Linked DNA regions of Cricetulus griseus. The protein of the gene in region 1 interacts with the protein of each later gene in a pairwise test. Links are inferred from orthologs where the notes say so. Each region holds a gene or a part of one and is shown in the gene's direction. Other genes may lie near its edges. The genes, in order: Gpank1, Ccdc184, Golga2, Trim23 and Pnma1.

Evidence for each region.
Region 2: the proteins of Gpank1 (region 1) and Ccdc184 interact in binary tests that used the Homo sapiens proteins (3 or more experiments, as listed by UniProt). The two-hybrid records come from large-scale screens. The link is inferred for Cricetulus griseus from reciprocal best matches to the Homo sapiens genes GPANK1 and CCDC184.
Region 3: the proteins of Gpank1 (region 1) and Golga2 interact in binary tests that used the Homo sapiens proteins (3 or more experiments, as listed by UniProt). The two-hybrid records come from large-scale screens. The link is inferred for Cricetulus griseus from reciprocal best matches to the Homo sapiens genes GPANK1 and GOLGA2.
Region 4: the proteins of Gpank1 (region 1) and Trim23 interact in binary tests that used the Homo sapiens proteins (3 or more experiments, as listed by UniProt). The link is inferred for Cricetulus griseus from reciprocal best matches to the Homo sapiens genes GPANK1 and TRIM23.
Region 5: the proteins of Gpank1 (region 1) and Pnma1 interact in binary tests that used the Homo sapiens proteins (3 or more experiments, as listed by UniProt). The two-hybrid records come from large-scale screens. The link is inferred for Cricetulus griseus from reciprocal best matches to the Homo sapiens genes GPANK1 and PNMA1.

The regions. Positions count from the first base shown.
Region 1 is NW_023276806.1:231,644,522-231,648,816, forward strand, and holds the start of Gpank1 (G patch domain and ankyrin repeat-containing protein 1), read left to right. Parts: upstream 1-1,488; 5' UTR 1,489-1,646; intron 1,647-2,224; 5' UTR 2,225-2,392; intron 2,393-2,539; exon of another isoform or gene 2,540-2,681; intron 2,682-2,805; 5' UTR 2,806-2,807; coding exon 2,808-3,424; intron 3,425-4,295. Other genes in the region: Csnk2b (casein kinase II subunit beta), read right to left, coding at 469-540.
Region 2 is NC_048595.1:394,652,671-394,654,941, forward strand, and holds Ccdc184 (coiled-coil domain-containing protein 184), read left to right. Parts: upstream 1-1,179; coding exon 1,180-1,764; downstream 1,765-2,271.
Region 3 is NC_048599.1:144,035,853-144,039,369, forward strand, and holds part of Golga2 (golgin subfamily A member 2), read left to right. Parts: intron 1-698; coding exon 699-757; intron 758-989; coding exon 990-1,131; intron 1,132-1,664; coding exon 1,665-1,754; intron 1,755-1,857; coding exon 1,858-1,965; intron 1,966-2,109; coding exon 2,110-2,197; intron 2,198-2,574; coding exon 2,575-2,912; intron 2,913-3,123; coding exon 3,124-3,237; intron 3,238-3,517. UniProt on the Homo sapiens protein: Peripheral membrane component of the cis-Golgi stack that acts as a membrane skeleton that maintains the structure of the Golgi apparatus, and as a vesicle thether that facilitates vesicle fusion to the Golgi membrane.
Region 4 is NC_048595.1:322,450,730-322,454,246, forward strand, and holds part of Trim23 (E3 ubiquitin-protein ligase TRIM23), read left to right. Parts: intron 1-1,433; coding exon 1,434-1,596; intron 1,597-3,517.
Region 5 is NC_048598.1:119,613,413-119,617,689, forward strand, and holds Pnma1 (paraneoplastic antigen Ma1), read left to right. Parts: upstream 1-1,475; 5' UTR 1,476-2,141; coding exon 2,142-3,203; 3' UTR 3,204-3,930; downstream 3,931-4,277.

The DNA.
Region 1 (4,295 bases):
CGTCTTTCACCTGGCCCAGGAGACAAACGACCGCATCGGCTCCCCTTGTTTCCTATTCTCACTTCTGCAGAGGTGTTCCGTCTCCCACAGAAACCGCAGCTCTCTTCTTTCCGGGCCAACAAGGTACAGCGCATTATTCAACTTGTCTCCCTCCTCTAAAGGACCCGGGTTTGCTCTCTGCTCTGGGACATCAGACTCTCACAGGCATTGATCATTTCCTACGTTACCACACTGTGGTTTTCATGTTACATGAAACATTTTAACTTTCCTGACGGTCACCAGCGATACCTCTGTTAGCCATGCACAGAGTGAACCCCAGCGCTCAGGAGACTGAGGCACTAGGATTGCCAGGAGTTCAAGGACAGTCTGGGCTACACAGTCAGCTTCGGGGGAAATCTCATCTCAGACAACATACAACGAAAACACCGAGGGCACGTGGAGAGGGCCCAGAAAGCCAGCTAAACTCACCTCACAGAAGAACTCATTACCACGGAGCCCACAGAACCAGGAAATCCAGGAAACCTCCTCAGAGCTACTCATCTTTACGTCGGCTGAGGAAGAAGGGCGTTAAGTGGAGACCAGGCTGTTTCTTGGTCTCTTCCCTCCTCCCACACACACGGTCTCCTCAACGGCGGAGGAATCCGAGGCCACTGGCGTTGAGTGGCCCCGGCCCGTGAAGCACCGCTCTCCACGCCTCTCTTCTTTACCTCAGCCCCCCGACAGCGTGGTGAGAACCAGCTCCACTCCTTCCCAGGGGGTGACAGGTCCCGATCTGTGGGTGTTGCCCGGCGCGAGGCCAGGCCCCGGCCCCCCGGCCCCCCGGCCCCCGGCCGCGCGCGGCCCGCGCGGCCCCACCGAGGCACTCGCCTGGCGCCCGTCCCGAGGCTTCCCGAGTCCATCCTCCCCCCCGAGCCCGCCTCTCGGGGCCTCGCGGCGCCGGCGGGAGCCCCGCACCCCCGCGGGACCCACGAGCGTCCCCACAGCCGCTCCTCTCCTCAGGCCACCCGGCCTCCTTCGGCCGCCGACCCGGTCCCTTCCTTCCTCGCCCCCACATCTCGGAGCGCGGAGCCCGGCGCCGCGGCGCGGGGACGAGCGCAGACTCACCGGCCGGACGGGGACTGGGACTGGGGCGGGGAAGGGGAGCCGAGCTTCGAAGGAACCGCAGCGACCGCTACAGCGCAGGAAGCCGAGCGGACCGCGGCAGGCGAAGTGGGGAGGGGGGAAGGGGAACTGGGGAGGGTGGGGAGGGAGAGAGGGCAACGCGCAGGCGCCGAGGACCGCCCCTGCCCCTAGGGACGCCGGGAAATGGAGTCCCGTAGAGAGGCAGAAAGTGACGCGATGCGGGGACGGCGAACCACCAATCCCAAGAGTCCGCGCGCATGACTCCGGGGTCGCGAGGCCCTAGCGGAAGCCGCCTGGGGGCGGGGCGAGCCGAGCCTCCACCGGAAGCGGAAGCCAGGTTACAGCCGCCTTCCCGACCGGGAAGCCTGGGAAATATAGTCCTACGCGCTTTGGGCTCGGCAGGCTGCGAGCCGGCGCCGGCGGCCGCTGAGGTCCCCGCTGCGCGCCCGCTCCGTCCCGCTCCGGTCGTCCCTGCCGCCCCGGGGACTGACACCGTCGCCGAGGACCAGGCATGCGGCCCGGAGGTGCGGCTCGGAGTGCGGGGCTGAGGTCGCAGGGCTTGGGCTGCCGAGCCGGGCGGCGGGGGCGGGGGACCTGCTGCACCGCCCCGCGCGCTAACCTGAGGTGGCGCCTGCCATTCTGCCGCTCATCCCTTTGCACTTCTCCATGTGTTGCTGCTGCTTGCTGCTGCTGCTGCTGTTGCTGCTGCTGCTGCTGCTGCGGACCCCACGTGAGCTGCTTGCTCTTCGAGCCCTGCTCGGAGTAGCGGTGAGGGGCGCCGTGGTGTTAGCGCGTCTCGCGGCTGCCCGGCATCCCGCGGCTCCCTGGCGTCCTCAGGCCTCCCGGCTCCACAAGAGGGGCTTGGAGCGGGAGGGACCACGTCGAGGGTGGCGAAGAGCATTGTGGGGGCGTTATGTAAAAGTAGGACCCCAACCGACAGGTCCCCCTGGGCCCTCGCGCTGTCTGGGCACGCGATGCCTGACGCGGATGCTTGGGAAGGTTCCAGCGCGGGAAACTGAACCTTGTGGGTGTTTTGTTGTGGTTGGCTGCTGCGCATGCGTCTCTGTGCCAGGTGGGTGTCGGATTGTGTCAACTCTTGCAGATGACGAGAGCGCCATTTTTCGGTACGGAAGTGACAGTGCAACGCTTTTACCCCGACACCTTCTGGAATGATGTCACGCCTGTTTTTCTTTGGGAAAAGGAGACACCCCCCCCCAGCCCCACGTAAGATCGAGCAAGATTTAAAAGTCCCGGCCGATATTCCCTAACGGTATGTGTTACAGGGTGGGAAAAGGTTTTCAGAGACAGCCTGCTGTTTTTGTTTGAAGGGAGAAGGGAGTAGAACGCAGGGCCCCTAGACAAGTGCCTGGGGGAACATTCTTTCCTATTATCATTTTTTTTTTCTTTCCTGTTGTAGAGATAGAACCCAGACCTCCCAAATTCGAGGCGAGCATTCTACAAAGAACCTAATCTACCATGCCCTCATGATACTTAATTAACATCTGTTCAGCATCTGCCATTCCAGGGGTCTACAAGATCCTAGGGTCGGGGAGTGAGAGGTCTGTTTTAGTTCTAGGCGGCTTTCTCATCCCAGCAGGCCCTGGGGGTGGTGCTGGTCATTACATCGGGTTGGAGTGTTCATCACAGCCTTTCCCAGCCTTCTTTCCTCGTTTCTCCCCAAAGCCATGTCCAGGCCGTCCCTCATCGCATTTACTCCAGCCACCGACTCCAGCGACCTCTGGAAAGATGGGCAGCAGCAACCACAGCCTGAGAAGCCAGGGCCAGTCCTGGATGGGGCCGCAGCCCGGGCTTTCTACGAGGCTCTAATTGCAGATGAGAGTAGCTCCCCTAAGCCCCAGAGAGCTGGCCCTGTCAGAGGACAAAAGAGGAGGAAAAGGAGAGGGACCAGGGAGGCTGCGGCGGTGGCAGCAGGAGCCTCGGGGCAAGGAAGGCCACTGCCACCAGAGGATGACGACAGGATGACCCAGTGGATCCTGCTGGCAGCCCAGAACGGGGATCTGACAGAACTTCGAAGGCTGCTGGAACCCCGGGAGGCAGGGGGAGCTGGAGGGAACATCAATGCACGCGATGCCTTCTGGTGGACTCCCCTGATGTGCGCCGCCAGAGCAGGCCAAGCGGCTGCCGTGTGCTATCTTCTGGACCGGGGTGCTGCCTGGGTAGGAGTCTGTGAGCTGGGAGGCAGAGATGCTGCTCAGCTGGCCGAAGAAGCGGGCTTCCCTGAGGTGGCCCGCATGGTCAGAGAGAGCCGTGGAGAGACAAGGAGCCCCGAGAACCAGAGCCGGTGAGGAGGGAGCGCTAGCTCATACCCACCTTTATTGTGTTCTGCCTTTCCTGGACACCCCATTCGGGGGCTCTTCATCCTCCAGTGTAGCTAGTTCCTGTCACAGAGCGACAATGGCCATGGTCTTTGCTCACTAAATCTTGGCTTCGTTTTCTTGCAACGTCAGCCTAATGTCTGTAAACCTCTCCTTGTCTGAGAAGTGGGGATAAGCACCTGTCTCGCAGTCGTTAAGATGCAGCAGGTTAATGTGGAAAGTGATGGAACAGTGGCTGTCACATAGTGTGGTCATAAGCATCAGCTCGCCACACGGTGATGGCGCACGCCTTTAGTCCCAGCACTCGGCAGGCAGAGGCAGGCGGATCTCTGTTGAGTTCAAGACCAGCCTGGTCTACAGAGTGAGTTCCAGGACAGCCTCCAAAGCTACAGAGAAACCCTGTCTCAACCTCCCCCGCAAAAAAAAAAAAAAAATAAGCTTTAGCTCTACTCATTATTCCTAAGAGCTGAGGTCCACCTCACGGTATCCCAAATGGTCCCTCTGCACAGATGGAGAGGGGCTGGTATAGCTTGGCAGTGGAACACTTGGCTAACACTTCGAAGACCCCGGGGTGCCTATCCAACGCAAGATAAAACAAAAATGATGCTAAGCCGGGCGTTGGTGGCGCATGCCTTTAATCCCAGCACTCGGGAGGTAGAGGCAGGCGGGTCTCTGTGAGTTTGAGGCCAGCCTGGTCTACAGAGCAAGTGCCAGGATAGGCTCCAAAGCTACACAGAGAAACCCTGTCTCGGAAAAAAGCAAAAAGATGATGCTAAAATTAGAAGTAAGGCATGAAGTGTGCCACCCTGCTCCACCAGGTGCCTGAACAGCCTTGGC
Region 2 (2,271 bases), on another chromosome or scaffold:
TATTTTAAGCGCTGGGGATTCCGTGATGCGGGGTGCAGGGGAGGGAAATCTGTTGTTATGGAGTTTTCATTCTCACAATTTAAGTACTTAGTTAGCTTCACCATTCTCATAAACTCACAGCAACCTGGGTAGAAGCAGTTGGGTCCCAAAAGGGACAGCATCTCACCCTGTGTTTTCTGGAGCGAGGGAACGGGTTTGTGCAGCAGAAGGAAGAGGCAGAAATCGGTCGTGCCCTCGTCCTCCCTCCGCACCATCGCCAGGCCTGGCACGGCAAGCTCCCCTGGGATTATTAACAATCTCCTCTCTACCCAGTCCCACCGACCGCTGGAGGACAAGGGCAGGGTCTGACTCTCGTGCTATTCTCCAAGGAAGGAATGCACAGAGCTGGTGAAAAGCCCTCCTAGGCGGACGTCTCTCTCGGGCTTGGGGGTGGGGGTGGGGACGTGCAGCAAACTGCTCTCTCATGCTGTCCTATTAAACATTGCAGCCACACTCTCTTTGCAGTTTCTCTGAGGCCACTGCAGCGTCCCCGCCCCGTCCGCCCGTCAGCCCATACAAGAGAGCTCCACTGCAGCTTCTGGAACCGCGTTCCCTTTCTTCTCCACTTCCTCGTTGCCATGGAGACACACGTCATTTACGTGCCGTGCGTCGCCTTGGAAACGGGGGAGCATCCGCGGCGCTGCCGGGAGACCCGCCCCTGCCGCTCCAGCCGCACTCGCGGGCTCTGTTGGTGGATAGCCCGGGTGCGGGGGGAAGTCCCCAGAACGACGCGCTGCAGGTTCCCGTCTTGACCCTGACCTCTCTGCGAGCGCCTCTGTGACCCGGAGAGCCTGCAGGCACTCTGACGGTGGTTGCCAGGAGGGCGGCTGGGACACAGGCACCAACCCCGGAGGCTAGCTGGCATTGCACTTTTGTCCCTGGGCAAGCCCGAAGACGCTGGCTTCAGGATCCTAGACGGGTCTTCGTTGTGTGGACTCTTGTCTGTCTTCCTTGATCCTGCCGGCGCCCTCTGCCTGGGACTGCCCTTTTCACGTCGGCTACCCGTCCCTCTAGGGAGACTAGGTGTCCCTGGGCACCATCCTGTCCCTCTCGGGACCTCTTCCCCTCCACATCCTTCCCCCACCCTGGAGGCCCGGCTGGAAGCGACCCAGAGCTGCCACAGCCGGCTTCTGACACTCAATGGAGGACAGTCTGCTGGAGATCATGACCAAGGACGGTGGAGACATGCCGGCACCTTTGGAGGTGTCCACAGTGCCAGCCGTGGGGGACGTGATCTCTGGGGAGTATAACGGCGGCATGAAGGAACTGATGGAGCACCTGAAGGCCCAGCTGCAGGCCCTGTTTGAGGACGTGAGGGCTATGCGAGGGGCGCTGGACGAGCAGGCCTCGCACATCCAGGTTTTGTCGGACGACGTGTGCGCCAACCAGAGGGCCATAGTCTCTATGTGCCAGATTATGACCACCGCGCCCCGCCAGGGAGGCTTGGGCGTGGCTGCAGGCAAGGGGAGCTTCCCGAGTGTTCCCCACGAGCCAGAGACACCTTCGATTGGGATCGGGGACGGGGGCTTGCTGGGTCGCGATCCAGAGGAGGAGGAGGATGAAGAGGAGGAGAAAGCGATGCCCAGCCCCGCCACACCCACCAGTCACCGTGAGCGCTCTGAGAGCCCCTGTGCTGGTCTCCTTGGGGAGGATGGGCCACTTGTGGAGCCCCTCGACCTGCCTGACATTACCCTGCTGCAGCTGGAGGGCGAGGTTTCTCTGTAAGGGGAAACCCCACCAGGGCACCAACTACCTGGGCTTTGGGTTTCCAAGCGCTTAATGCCAGGGGATTGAACAGTGCGGTGCAATGTGCTTCACTCCTAACGTGGTTCTTATAGGTCAGGGAGAGAGACTCCCTCACATAAGGATTTGTAGGGTGAAGGACTTTGGAGGCATCTTGAATTCCACCCAATCACGCATCATAGCAAAACTGCAGAAAGGTGAGGTTCCCGGAGAGGAAGTGCCCATCTCTGGGACTCCCATCCATCCCCTTACCTTGCCCTTTCCCTTCTTCCCAGGAAACAGGAGGACCATTGAATTATGTAAATAAAATTCTTTTTCTATTCTGAACAAGGACTCATCTAGGACTTTGGCAAATAATCTCTATTTACCTAGAAATTAAGGAATTGGGGTATATTCTGTTCTGGTAACAGGAATTTCACCCTTTTGCTGAAATCCAAGACATAGAGTGCTCTGCAGAAGCCTCTCCCCTCACAGATCTCTGCGGCTGTT
Region 3 (3,517 bases), on another chromosome or scaffold:
GGTGGCTCACAACTATCCATAATTTATGCTTGTGGTGATTAGACATATGTGTAGGCAAAACAACAATACACATATAATAAACAACATTTTAAAAATATTAAACAAAACCAAAAAACAAACACCAGACGGTGGTGGCGCACGCCTTTAATCCCAGCACTTGGGAAGCAGAGGCAGGCAGATCTCTGTGAGCTTGAGACCAGCCTGGTCTACAAGAGCTAGTTCGAGGACAGGCTCTGAAGTTACACAGAGAAACCCTATCTCAAAAAACAAAGCAAAACAAAAAAACCAACCCTGAAGGCTATGACTGATGGTGTGGACTTTTGGTCTCCCAGGCTGCATTAGGAAGATCATCTAAGCACAGGAGGTTGAAGCCAGCTATGATAACATAGTGTGACCCCACCTTAAAAACAAAACAAAGTCAGGCAGTCATGGTGCACACTGGAGGCAGACTCAGGCAGATCTCTGAGTTTAAAGCCAGCCTGGACTAGAGAGGGACATCCAGGGCTACACAGAGAAACCCTGTCTAGAAAAACCAAACAGACACACAGAAACCTAAGACCACAGGCTTAGAAAAGCCTTGGGAAACATCAGTGTGGTTGGGAAAAAGAGATGTCACTGTGAAATCACTGGGGCCGTTGGTGTTGTGCCAGCTGTTTCTTTAGCCTGCCAGGTCCAGACTCAGCTCTCTTTATCTGTAGTACAACAAGGACCTAACCAAAGAGCGAGATGCCCTCAAGCTGGAGCTGTACAAGAACAAGTAAGAATGGGAAGGAGGTTGGGCTTCCTGCAGCTTTAGTGTGGGAAATTGAGGCTCAGAGGAGACAGGTTTAGCCTTGTGTAGATCTATGCGCTAGTCCCAGCCATACTTGTGACTCATGGTATGATCTGTCACTTGTGTCTGTGACTTTGTAGCAAGGCTCATAAGTTGCTCTAAAATGTGGTCCTTTCTGTTCTTGGTTCTTTCTTTTCTGCATTACCTCTGGCCATAGCAAAAATAATGAGGACCTGAAGCAGCAGAACTCAGAACTGGAAGAGAAACTTCGAGTCTTAGTGGCAGAGAAAGCAGCTGCACAGTCAGGGGTGGAGGACCTGCAGAAGAAGCTGGAAATGTCGGAGCTGCTGCTGCAGCAGGTGAGAGGTGCAGCTCATACCCCTAAGGCCCAGGCACACAGTCTCAGCATCCTTGGTGGTGACCTGTAGCCAAGCACTGGAGAGTTTGAAGCCTCCTCCTGGTCCTGCTGTAGACCTGACCTATATAGTCATAATCTTAGTGGTTGTGATATGGCTGTTAAAGTTTTCTTTTTTGATTTATCCTGGTTGAAAAACCATCTTTTTTGTTACTTTATTTATTGATTGATTTTGAGACAAAGTCTTATCAGTAGCCAGGTTGACCTGTAACTCACTAGGCAACCAGACTAGTCTTGAACTCATGGTAATCTTTCTACCTTAGCCTTCCAAGTGCTGAGGTTGCAGGTGTGACCCACTGTGCCTAGCTGAAAAGCCATCATTCTGCTTCATTTAAATGACACACGCAAGAGGCTGTTCACCACCTCCTGGCACTTTTCTCACATGGCATCTGAGCTTCTCATATGAGTTATCCATTAATCTGGCTCACTCTTGTGGGAAGCACTGTGGTGGATGAAACCTTCATTTTCCTTTTACAGTTCTCAAGCCAATCTGAGGCCTCTGATAGTAACCAGCAGTTACAACATGCCATGGAGGAGCGGGCTCAGCTGGAGACCCATGTAGGCCAGGTGAGGAGGATGTGTTGGGGGAGAGGATGGCATGACCCCAGGTGGCCAAGGGCCGGTGAGAACCAGTGATAGCCCTTTGTAACTTGTGTGTTGACTGATGCAGTTGATGGAGTCTCTGAAACAGCTCCAGATGGAGAGAGACCAGTATGCAGAAAACCTGAAAGGAGAAAGTGCCATGTGGCAGCAGAGGGTACAGCAAATGGCAGAGCAGGTGAGGCCTGGCCCCTGGTGTCTTTGCTCTTCCTGAGCATCAGTGGGGCGCAGCTGAGGGGTTAGGGGCTTCAGTTTTATGGAGGTGGGACTGGGAATGGATGGTGCCCGGGATCCCCAGCTCTTTCCCTCTGCCTTTGGGCAGGTGCACACTCTGAAGGAGGAGAAGGAACACAGAGAAAGTCAGGTACAAGAGCTGGAGACCAGCTTGGCCGAACTCAGAAGTCAGATGGGTGAGTAGGGCAAGAGTGACCTGAGAGCAGGAGTGGGTCCAAAGGCCATTAAGGTGGCTTCCATTGCCTTGGGGTGGCAGGTGGGTGCAAGGGCATTGTAGCAGAGGGCAAGGGGTCTCTGCCAGGAGGTAGCAAATCTTGTCATCCCTCTGAGCATGTGTCCCTCTGTGCAAAGCAGGGTGCCATGGCTACTGCTACCCCCTGCAGGTGACTTAGTATCACTTAACTGTACTAGACTGGTTTGAAATGCTTACCTCCTCTCAGACCCTGACAGACAAGAAGCCAAGGCTTGGGGCAGGGGGCCTGACTTGAGCTCACAATGGAGCCTATCTGAGAAGCCAAGGGCGGTTCCCCTCACTGCCTGCTTCCTTTCTTAGAGGAGCCGCCACCCCCACCGCCCCCAGCTGGACCCTCTGAGGTGGAACAGCGGCTGCAGGGAGAGGTTGAACAACTGCAGAAGGAACTGGAGAATCTGACAGAACAGCTGAGGGCCCAGGTGCAGGATAATGAGAGCCTGAGCCACCTGAACCGGGAGCAGGAGGAGCGGCTGCTGGAGCTGGAGCGGGCAGCAGAGCGCTGGAGTGAGCAGACTGAGGAGCGCAAGCAGATCCTGGAGAGCATGCAGAGTGACCGCACCACCATCAGCAGAGCGCTGTCACAGAACCGCGAGCTAAAGGAGCAGTTGGCTGAGCTGCAAAACGGCTTCGTCAGGCTGGTGCGTGCGCAGCCTGCAGGCCTCCTTACCCAAGGGATGGGGTGCTGTCCACCTCACATGAAATGGTAGTGGTGTGGGCACCCAGCAAGCCAGAGCTCTGGGGCTTGTAGGAATGATCCAGAAGCCTTCCTTGCTCTGTGGGAGGAGGTGCATATGCAGGTCTGGGCACCCTAGCCACTTTAGGTCCTACTGACGGCTGCTTTCTGTCCAGACCAACGAGAACATGGAGATCACCAGTGCACTGCAGTCAGAGCAGCATGTCAAGAAAGAGCTGGCCAAGAAGCTGGGAGAGCTGCAGGAGAGGCTGGGGGAGCTGAAGGAGACGGTAAGACCTACTGCATGTGGTGCCAGCCACTGGATTTGGAGAGGGGAAATGCAAGGCCCATCACAGATTAGCTGCAGCCTGGGAGCAGGCTTGCAAGTCAGCCTATGACTGTTGTATTAGAGATGGTTATCCCTGGACTGCTCTTCGTCTGGGTCAAGACCAGAAGGTGAGTCTTTATAGTTAGAGGTTATACAAGGCTCTGGGTTCAGGCTGGATTCACATCCATTTGTTCACATGCTTCCTATCACCAAACCTGATTACTGATCTTAAAAGATGAGTT
Region 4 (3,517 bases), on another chromosome or scaffold:
AATTAGTATAAAGCAAGAGTCCTATCCAGCGACACACTTGGACCATAGGATTCTGTAGTGTGGCTTGATCGGGAGACAATGGAATAATTCATTGTGAATATTTTTAAAAAGTAATTAAAACTGAAAACAACACAAACAATAGTTAGTTGTAAAGGCACTGAAAATGGTATGCTATGATAGTTACAGTTTATGATTATTTATAAAATAATTAACCCATGGACCTGAGATTCAGAGTGAGTCAGTTCTCACAGCTTTTTTTTTTTTTGAGTGCCTTTTGGTACATATAGTATTTGGTATATATACCTGTGATTACAACTAGATAGTCAAATATTTTCCAAGCCAGAGTTACTTATTAATAAAGAATAGGAATTGAAATTTAATTTTCAGCTAATCTGGCTTTTGCCCTTACATTATTTTGTGAAGTTTAGAAGATAATTGAATATTCCTTGGAGACATTCTTACAAATTTTTTTATAGTTTAGAAAATTGAGTGTCATCCCAATACACATTTTAGATTTTTTTTTAAAGATTTTATTTATTTATTATGTATACAACATTCTGCTTCCATGTCTATCTGCACAGTATAAGAGGGCACCGGATCTCATAATGGATGGTTGTGAGCCACCATGTGGGTGCTGGGAATTGAACTCAGGACCTCTGGAAGAACAGTCAGTGCTCTTAACCACTGAGCCATCTCTCCAGCCCTAGATTTTTTTTTTTTTTTTAAAGTCAATGGTGTTTTAACTGGACATAATGATACATCCCATAATCTAGCATTTGGGAGGCAGAGGCAGGAGGATCACTGTATATTTGAGGCCAGCCTGGACTGAGGTCCATTCAGAGCTGCTCAGTGAAATGTCATCTAACAAGGAAATAAACCAGGGTTTAGAGAGATGACTAATCTGTTGAGAATACTGACTGCTGTTTCAGAGGATCTGGTTTGATTTTTCAGTACCCACATGGTGGCTCACAACCATCTGTTACTCTAGCTCCAGGGAATCTTATACTCTCTTCTGACTTCTGTGGGCACTATACCAACAAGGTGCGCAGACATATATTCAGGCAAACATCCATACACAAAAATAAATCTCAAAACTTTTTTTAAAAAAGGAAAAGCAAAGTGAATGATTGTTGATGGGGGTTTCAGTAGAATTATAAATTGCTACATGTTCAGTTTTCAGGAGATTAGATTATGTTTCTTATATTAATTTGCAACATAAGAGTATTTCAAGGAGGTTTCACTTTGACAAGGTCTGTCAAATGGAAATGAATAAAAATGTGATTTAAGGTTTCATAATTTAGTCCCCCCCCATGGAGGAATTAAGTAATAAGATTGAGTAAGTATATTAACTAGGTCAATTCTTTTTAAATCTAAAATACTAGAATATTGTTTTAATAGTGTTTATAGACACATGTTTCTGTTTCCAATACTAGGTTCTGGAGTGTGGGGTTTGTGAAGATGTCTTCTCTTTGCAAGGGGATAAAGTTCCTCGCCTCCTCCTTTGTGGTCACACAGTCTGTCATGACTGTCTCACTCGCTTGCCTCTGCATGGAAGAGCAATACGTTGCCCATTTGATCGACAAGTAACAGACCTAGGTAGGAAAATTATTCGTGTAACACAAATGACGGAGAAAACAATTTCTTTACACTTGATTTTTTAGGTTAAGTTCCAAGAGCTTTTAGAATTTTGAGTTTCTGTTAAGGTCAATGGGATTCTGTTAAGCTAGCTCACTCTTAATTACCAGTGGAAATCTGAGACTTATATTCAATACTTAATGCTGAGAACTTAAGTACTACCCTAATTCAAAGAAATGAGAATACTGTATTCATCACAGATTAAACCCTTTGCCTAAAGCCATCAATCCAATAACTTTTTTTTTTTAAATGAACAAGCAGGTAGTCAAAATATATATTAAGTCATTTGAGTCTCAGTTTCAACTAACTCCCTTCCTTCCTTCCATCCTTCCTTCCTTCCTTCCTTCCTTCCTTCCTTCCTTCCTTCCTTCCTTCTTTCCTTCCTTCCTTTCTTTCTTTTTGAAACAGGGTTTCTCTGTGTAGCCCTGGCTGTCTTGGAACTTGCTTTGTAGACCAGACTGGCCTTGAACTTAAAGATCTGCCTGCTTTTAGTTCCCCAGTTCAGTCCTGGGATTAAAGGTGTGTGCCACTATGCCAGATAGGTCCTTTCATACTTCTAAAACTACTTCAGAATCACTATTCACAGATTTTAAAAATTAAAAATATTACATCTATTTGTGTGTGTCTGTGTCCAAAACAGGTGATCAGGCTTGCAGCAAGTGTCTTTATCAAAGAATCTATCTCAGGGGCCTAGATCTAGAAAGTAGAACATTAGCATGTGAAAAATTATTTCACAATTTAATATAAGTTCTTAATTTACTCTGTAAGATAAAAGAATTTTTTCCAAAATAATTTTTAAGGCTGATTTTTTTTTTTTTTTTTTTAAGGTCTTTAGCACTACTTAAGGCCAGGGCTGGTGGGAGGAGTTAACTGACTCCTGCAAGTTATTCTCTCAACTCCACACTTGTGTGGTGGCACCCTTCCATATATGTGTGTACGTACACCCCTACACAGAAGATAACATAAATGTAATAAATGACAAATATAGTCACACTATATGTTAAAATTAAATAATTTAGCTACCCATAAAAGGAAGCAAAGCTGTCTCTATATTTAGGCTTTCAAATGCTAGGAAATATGGCTTTAACATGTTGTCTTTGATTTTGGCTGTTCTCATATAAATAAGTATTATGTATATTCTCCAGGAAACTAATGCAAGGCACTAATGACATTATATAGATAGCATTAACCTACTATAAACCACAAAATAATAGTAATGGAAGAGATGTCTCTGTTTTAAAGGTTCATTTAGTTGACTTTCATTTAGTTGACTTTTCATTCTGTAAAACAAAAAGAAATTATCCTTTCTTCATATACAACTAGATGTGTAGAAATGGTAACATTTTGCAAATGTAGGCTAGAACCTTTTCCACTGTTTGGGAGAACCCTCTACTTTTTCTGCAATACCACAGTGTGGGGGTTGCTACACTTAGTGTTGAAAGCAGAAGTTATGACAGGGAGCAGTTAGTCACATCAGAGGTTGGAATCAACTCCTGTCATACCAACATTAGTGATCCCATCTCTGACTTGAATAAAGATTGTAGTGACTATGACTATGACTGTGCTTTGTCTGTGGAATATGCTAGTGACTTGATTACTAGCTTCCAGGTTTTTAAAGATCTGCTTGTATTTGTATCATAGAAATAGTCTATGCGTGTGTGTGTGTGTGTGTGTGTGTGTGTGTGTGTGTGTGTGTGTGTGTATACTACATATTATACTGTATACATACAGTATATACTATATATACGATATATATATACATAATATAGTACTATACATTCTATGTATTACAAACATTTGAGAAAAATATAAAAGATCATTTGTAATTCCCTCTTCTAGAAGAAAACTGCCCTTATTGATTATTATCAGTTCCTAATCTGAG
Region 5 (4,277 bases), on another chromosome or scaffold:
GTGGCACTCTTTTTAAAAAAGACTGTTACATATTAAATAGTGTACATATATATAAATATTACCTCTTTTGCTGTACAGTTGTGATAGACCAGACTGAAAATTTTATTTTTTGTGTGCTTTTTATAAAAAAATTAATACACTAAAGAGAATCTTGCTGTGATTGTAATGTACCTATGTAACTTATTTACTTTTGAATGTTCTGTATCTTAAGACCTTTTATTAAATAAAAATTTTAAAAAATTCACTGTTGAATGCCATATTCTTGGTTTTTCTTTTTCTTTTCTTTCCTTTTTTTTTTTTTTTTTTTTTTGAGACACGTTTTCTCTGTATTGTTTTGGAGGTTGTTCTGGAACTTGCTCTGAAGACCAGGCTGGCCTTGAACTCACAGAGATCCGCCTGCCTCTGCCTCCCGAGTGCTGGGATTAAAGGAGTTTGCCACCAATGCCCGGCGCCATATTCTTTTTTTTGTAACGATTTGTTTATTTTTATTTTATTTGCATTTGTGTTCTGTGTCTGCATGTGTATCAGTGTGAGGTTGTTAGATCTTTGGGAACTGGGGTTACCGACAGGTGTGAGCTGCCATGTGGGTTCGGGGAATTGAACCCAGGTCCTTTGGAATAGCAGCCAATGCTCCTAACCAGTGAGCCTTCTATCCAGCCCCCAATGCCATATCTTTATAGGGGTGGGGTTTGTGTGTTTATTTATTTATTTGATTTTTTGAGGCAGGGTTTCTCTGTGTAGTTTTGGAGCCTGGCCGGGAACTCAATTTATAGATCAGGTTTGCCTTGAACTCACAAAGCTCCTCCTGCCTCTGCCTCCCGAGTGCTGGGATTAACGGCATGGGCCACCAAGGCCCGCCTGATTTATAGGGATGTTTTTGCCAGCTGGGATTGACAGGCCTTGCTTGAAGAGAATTTACCCTACCTTTCTGAGCCTTAAGCATTCTCTTTTGTTATCCTGTATACTCAGTAAGATCAAGAAATGAAAGTGTTTGCAGTTTGCCTGGCTACAAAGAAGTAGCAGCAGCAGCATTTTGTTGGTTTTTTTTATATATATATATACAAAATTTAGGCAAGAAAGCATAGTAAGTCTCACAGGAACCTGGAGATGGCATTCTGTCTTTTGCTTTCCTGGGGAGGAGCAAGCAGCAGCTGTGGTGTGTGGTCAGGAGGTACGCAGAAGTCAGAGTGCTGAGTGTTTTCATGGGCTGCATAGTGAATGCATAAGCTGGATGAGCAACATGAGACAGACAAGTCTGTCGTGGTGGATGCGTATCAATAAGGCCAACTTAAATTCACAGCAAAATTAGATTAAGAAAAAAAGAAAACGATGCTTTGCAATATTTATTGTTAAGAAAGAAGCTGGGAAATACGTGTGTGTGTGTGTGCGCGCGCGCGCGCGCCATCACAAAATAGACTCCTCAACCCCTCGGTACCATAGCAACCGCCAGATCCTCTGGAGCTCGCGCATCTCCCGTCGTCATGGATACGGTTGCCACGGCGACACTGACGAGCGGACCGGCCCCGCCCTGCACTGCAGCTGCACGGCGGCGGCCGTTGCGGGAGCGCGCTGCTCTAGACGCTGAGCGGAGCTGCCTCCATCCGGCCTCCCGCCTTCCGCGCCTCCCTGAGGCCTCCGTCCCCGGTGCTCGCCTGCTGCCGCAGCCGCCGGACCCGAGTACCGCCTCTCCCGGCGTCTTCCCAGCCACTGCCTCGCGTGACCCTACGCCCGCGCCTACCGCCGGCCGGCCGGCCCGAGAGCGGCGGGGGGGAGCTGCCACACCCCGCGACCGCACCCGGCCGTCTCCCTCGTGAAGCTGAAGCCCACCGCCTTGCGCCAACCTTGCTTCTCCCCTGCCCGCCGTGAGGCCACGAATAGCTGCGGCCAGCCCGCACCTGCTCGGACCAAAGAGGGCGACATTCGATAGGCAGAGTGCCCCGAGGCACCTGACACTACTGACTTTGGGACCCGGAAGGGACGAGACTGGACTCCGGTGTCACTGGTAATTGTGGTTGCTTGAAGCTTGTCGCCCCCTGGCCTACCCGGGGGAGGGAGGCATGTTGTATTGTCCTAGGTCCTATAGCACTGCGAGCCAGTCCAGTCGGTGTCTGTAGAACTGGCACCCTTAATAGTGGGGCGAAATGGCTTTGACGCTCTTGGAAGACTGGTGCAGGGGAATGGATGTGAACTCTCAGAGAGCTCTGCTGGTCTGGGGGATCCCTGTGAACTGTGATGAGGCTGAAATCGAAGAGACCCTCCAAGCTGCCATGCCCCAAGTGCCCTACCGAGTACTGGGGAGAATGTTCTGGAGGGAAGAAAATGCGAAGGCAGCCTTGTTAGAGCTCACCGGGGAAGTGGATTACTCCCTGATCCCTAGAGAGATGCCAGGCAAAGGAGGGCTCTGGAAAGTGTTCTTTAAGCCCCCCACTTCTGATGCGGAGTTTCTGGAGAGGCTGCACCTCTTTCTAGCTAGGGAAGGGTGGACTGTGCAAGATGTTGCTCGTGTGCTTGGGTTTCAGAACCCTGCTCCCGCTCCAGGCCCAGAAATGCCAGCAGAGATGCTCAATTATATTTTGGATAATGTTATTCAACCTCTTGTTGAGTCCATATGGTATAAGAAGCTGACGCTATTCTCTGGGAGGGACATTCCCGGGCCTGGCGAGGAGACCTTTGATTCCTGGCTGGAGCACTCGAATGAGGTCATAGAAGAATGGCAGGTGTCTGATATAGAAAAGAGACGGCGGTTGATGGAGAGTTTGAGAGGCCCTGCTGCTGATGTCATTCGCATCCTCAAGACCAACAACCCAGCCATAACCACCGCGGAATGCCTGAAGGCTCTTGAGCAGGTGTTTGGGAGCGTGGAGAGCTCTAGAGATACACAGGTCAGATTTCTGAACACTTACCAGAACCCCGGGGAAAAGTTGTCATCTTACGTCATTCGTCTGGAGCCTCTGCTACAAAAGGTAGTGGAAAAGGGGGCCATTGATAAAGATAACGTGAACCAGGCTCGCCTGGAGCAGGTCATCGCCGGGGCCAACCACAGTGGGGCCATCCGAAGGCAATTGTGGCTGACTGGGGCTGCGGAACGACCGGCACCCAACCTCTTCCAGTTGCTGGTGCAGATTCGAGAGGAGGAAGCCAAGGAGGAGGAAGAGGAAGCTGAGGCAGCCCTTTTGCAGCTAGGCCTGGAGGGGCACTTCTGAGTCCCTGGATCAGTCTGGCTGCTTTTGTTATCCCTGTGCGGTTTTACAAGCCTTGCCTCTCATAGTAAAGACCTAGCCTCCTGTTTTTGTTTTGTTTTCTGGGGGATGGGATAGGGGAGTCAGGCCTGCGTATTTGTGTAGCAGTCACAGAATTGCGTGATTGGCCAGGGCTGCAACAGTAGAGGTGGTTCATACTGCCTAAAATGAATGCTTGATGCAAGCCCTCCTAGTGACATCTTTGACAGTTGTGAAAAATGTGAAGCTGAGACACTTCCTGTCAGGATGATTGTGAAAGTGCAAGCCTGCTTCACAGGCTGTATGGTACAGACTGACATTTGTTACTAATATTGTGGATAGTTTTACTGTACATTGTCCCTAATTTATATACATGGGAAGAATATGAGTCTGTTAGATGATACTGCTCATTTTGAAAATTCAGATTTCTCATTCCTCACGGCTCAACATCAGAACCAGTTTACCAGCAAAGTACTCTAGGATTAAAATTGGCAAGTTAGAAAAATGTGATTTTTATGAAGAGGCACAACCTACTTTTCATGGTGTAAGATACAAATATAAGTCAGGGGGAATTTCCATAAACAAGCTACATTTTCCCCACATGAATTATTTGTCATTTAATTATTGGTCATGTTGATGCTAAGTGTTCTAAATTTGAAGTTATCAAATAGATGTATACAAATAAAAATGTGAAAATTCTCATCTTGCTTTTCCTGACATGTATAAAAAATTTTCAGTGTAACTTAGCTCTGCACATTTTTTCTCTGCACATTTTTGCTCATGTCAAAAAATTTTTTAATCTCCTTGCTATGAGCTTAAATTGCAATATCACCTACACATTCTTGTGTTGCCGGTTCCTCGGTTATTGTTTTGTTTCTTTTTCACGGTCCCACTCGATAGCTAGCTGAGGCTGGCTTGGAATTCACTCTGTAGCCCAGGCTGGCCTCAAACTTGTAGCAATCCTCCTGCCTCCAGCCTCCACAGTGCTAGGGTTACAGGTGTGAGCCACCTCACCCAGCTATTTCTTTTAGATACAGTCTCACTATCTAGCTCCGGCTA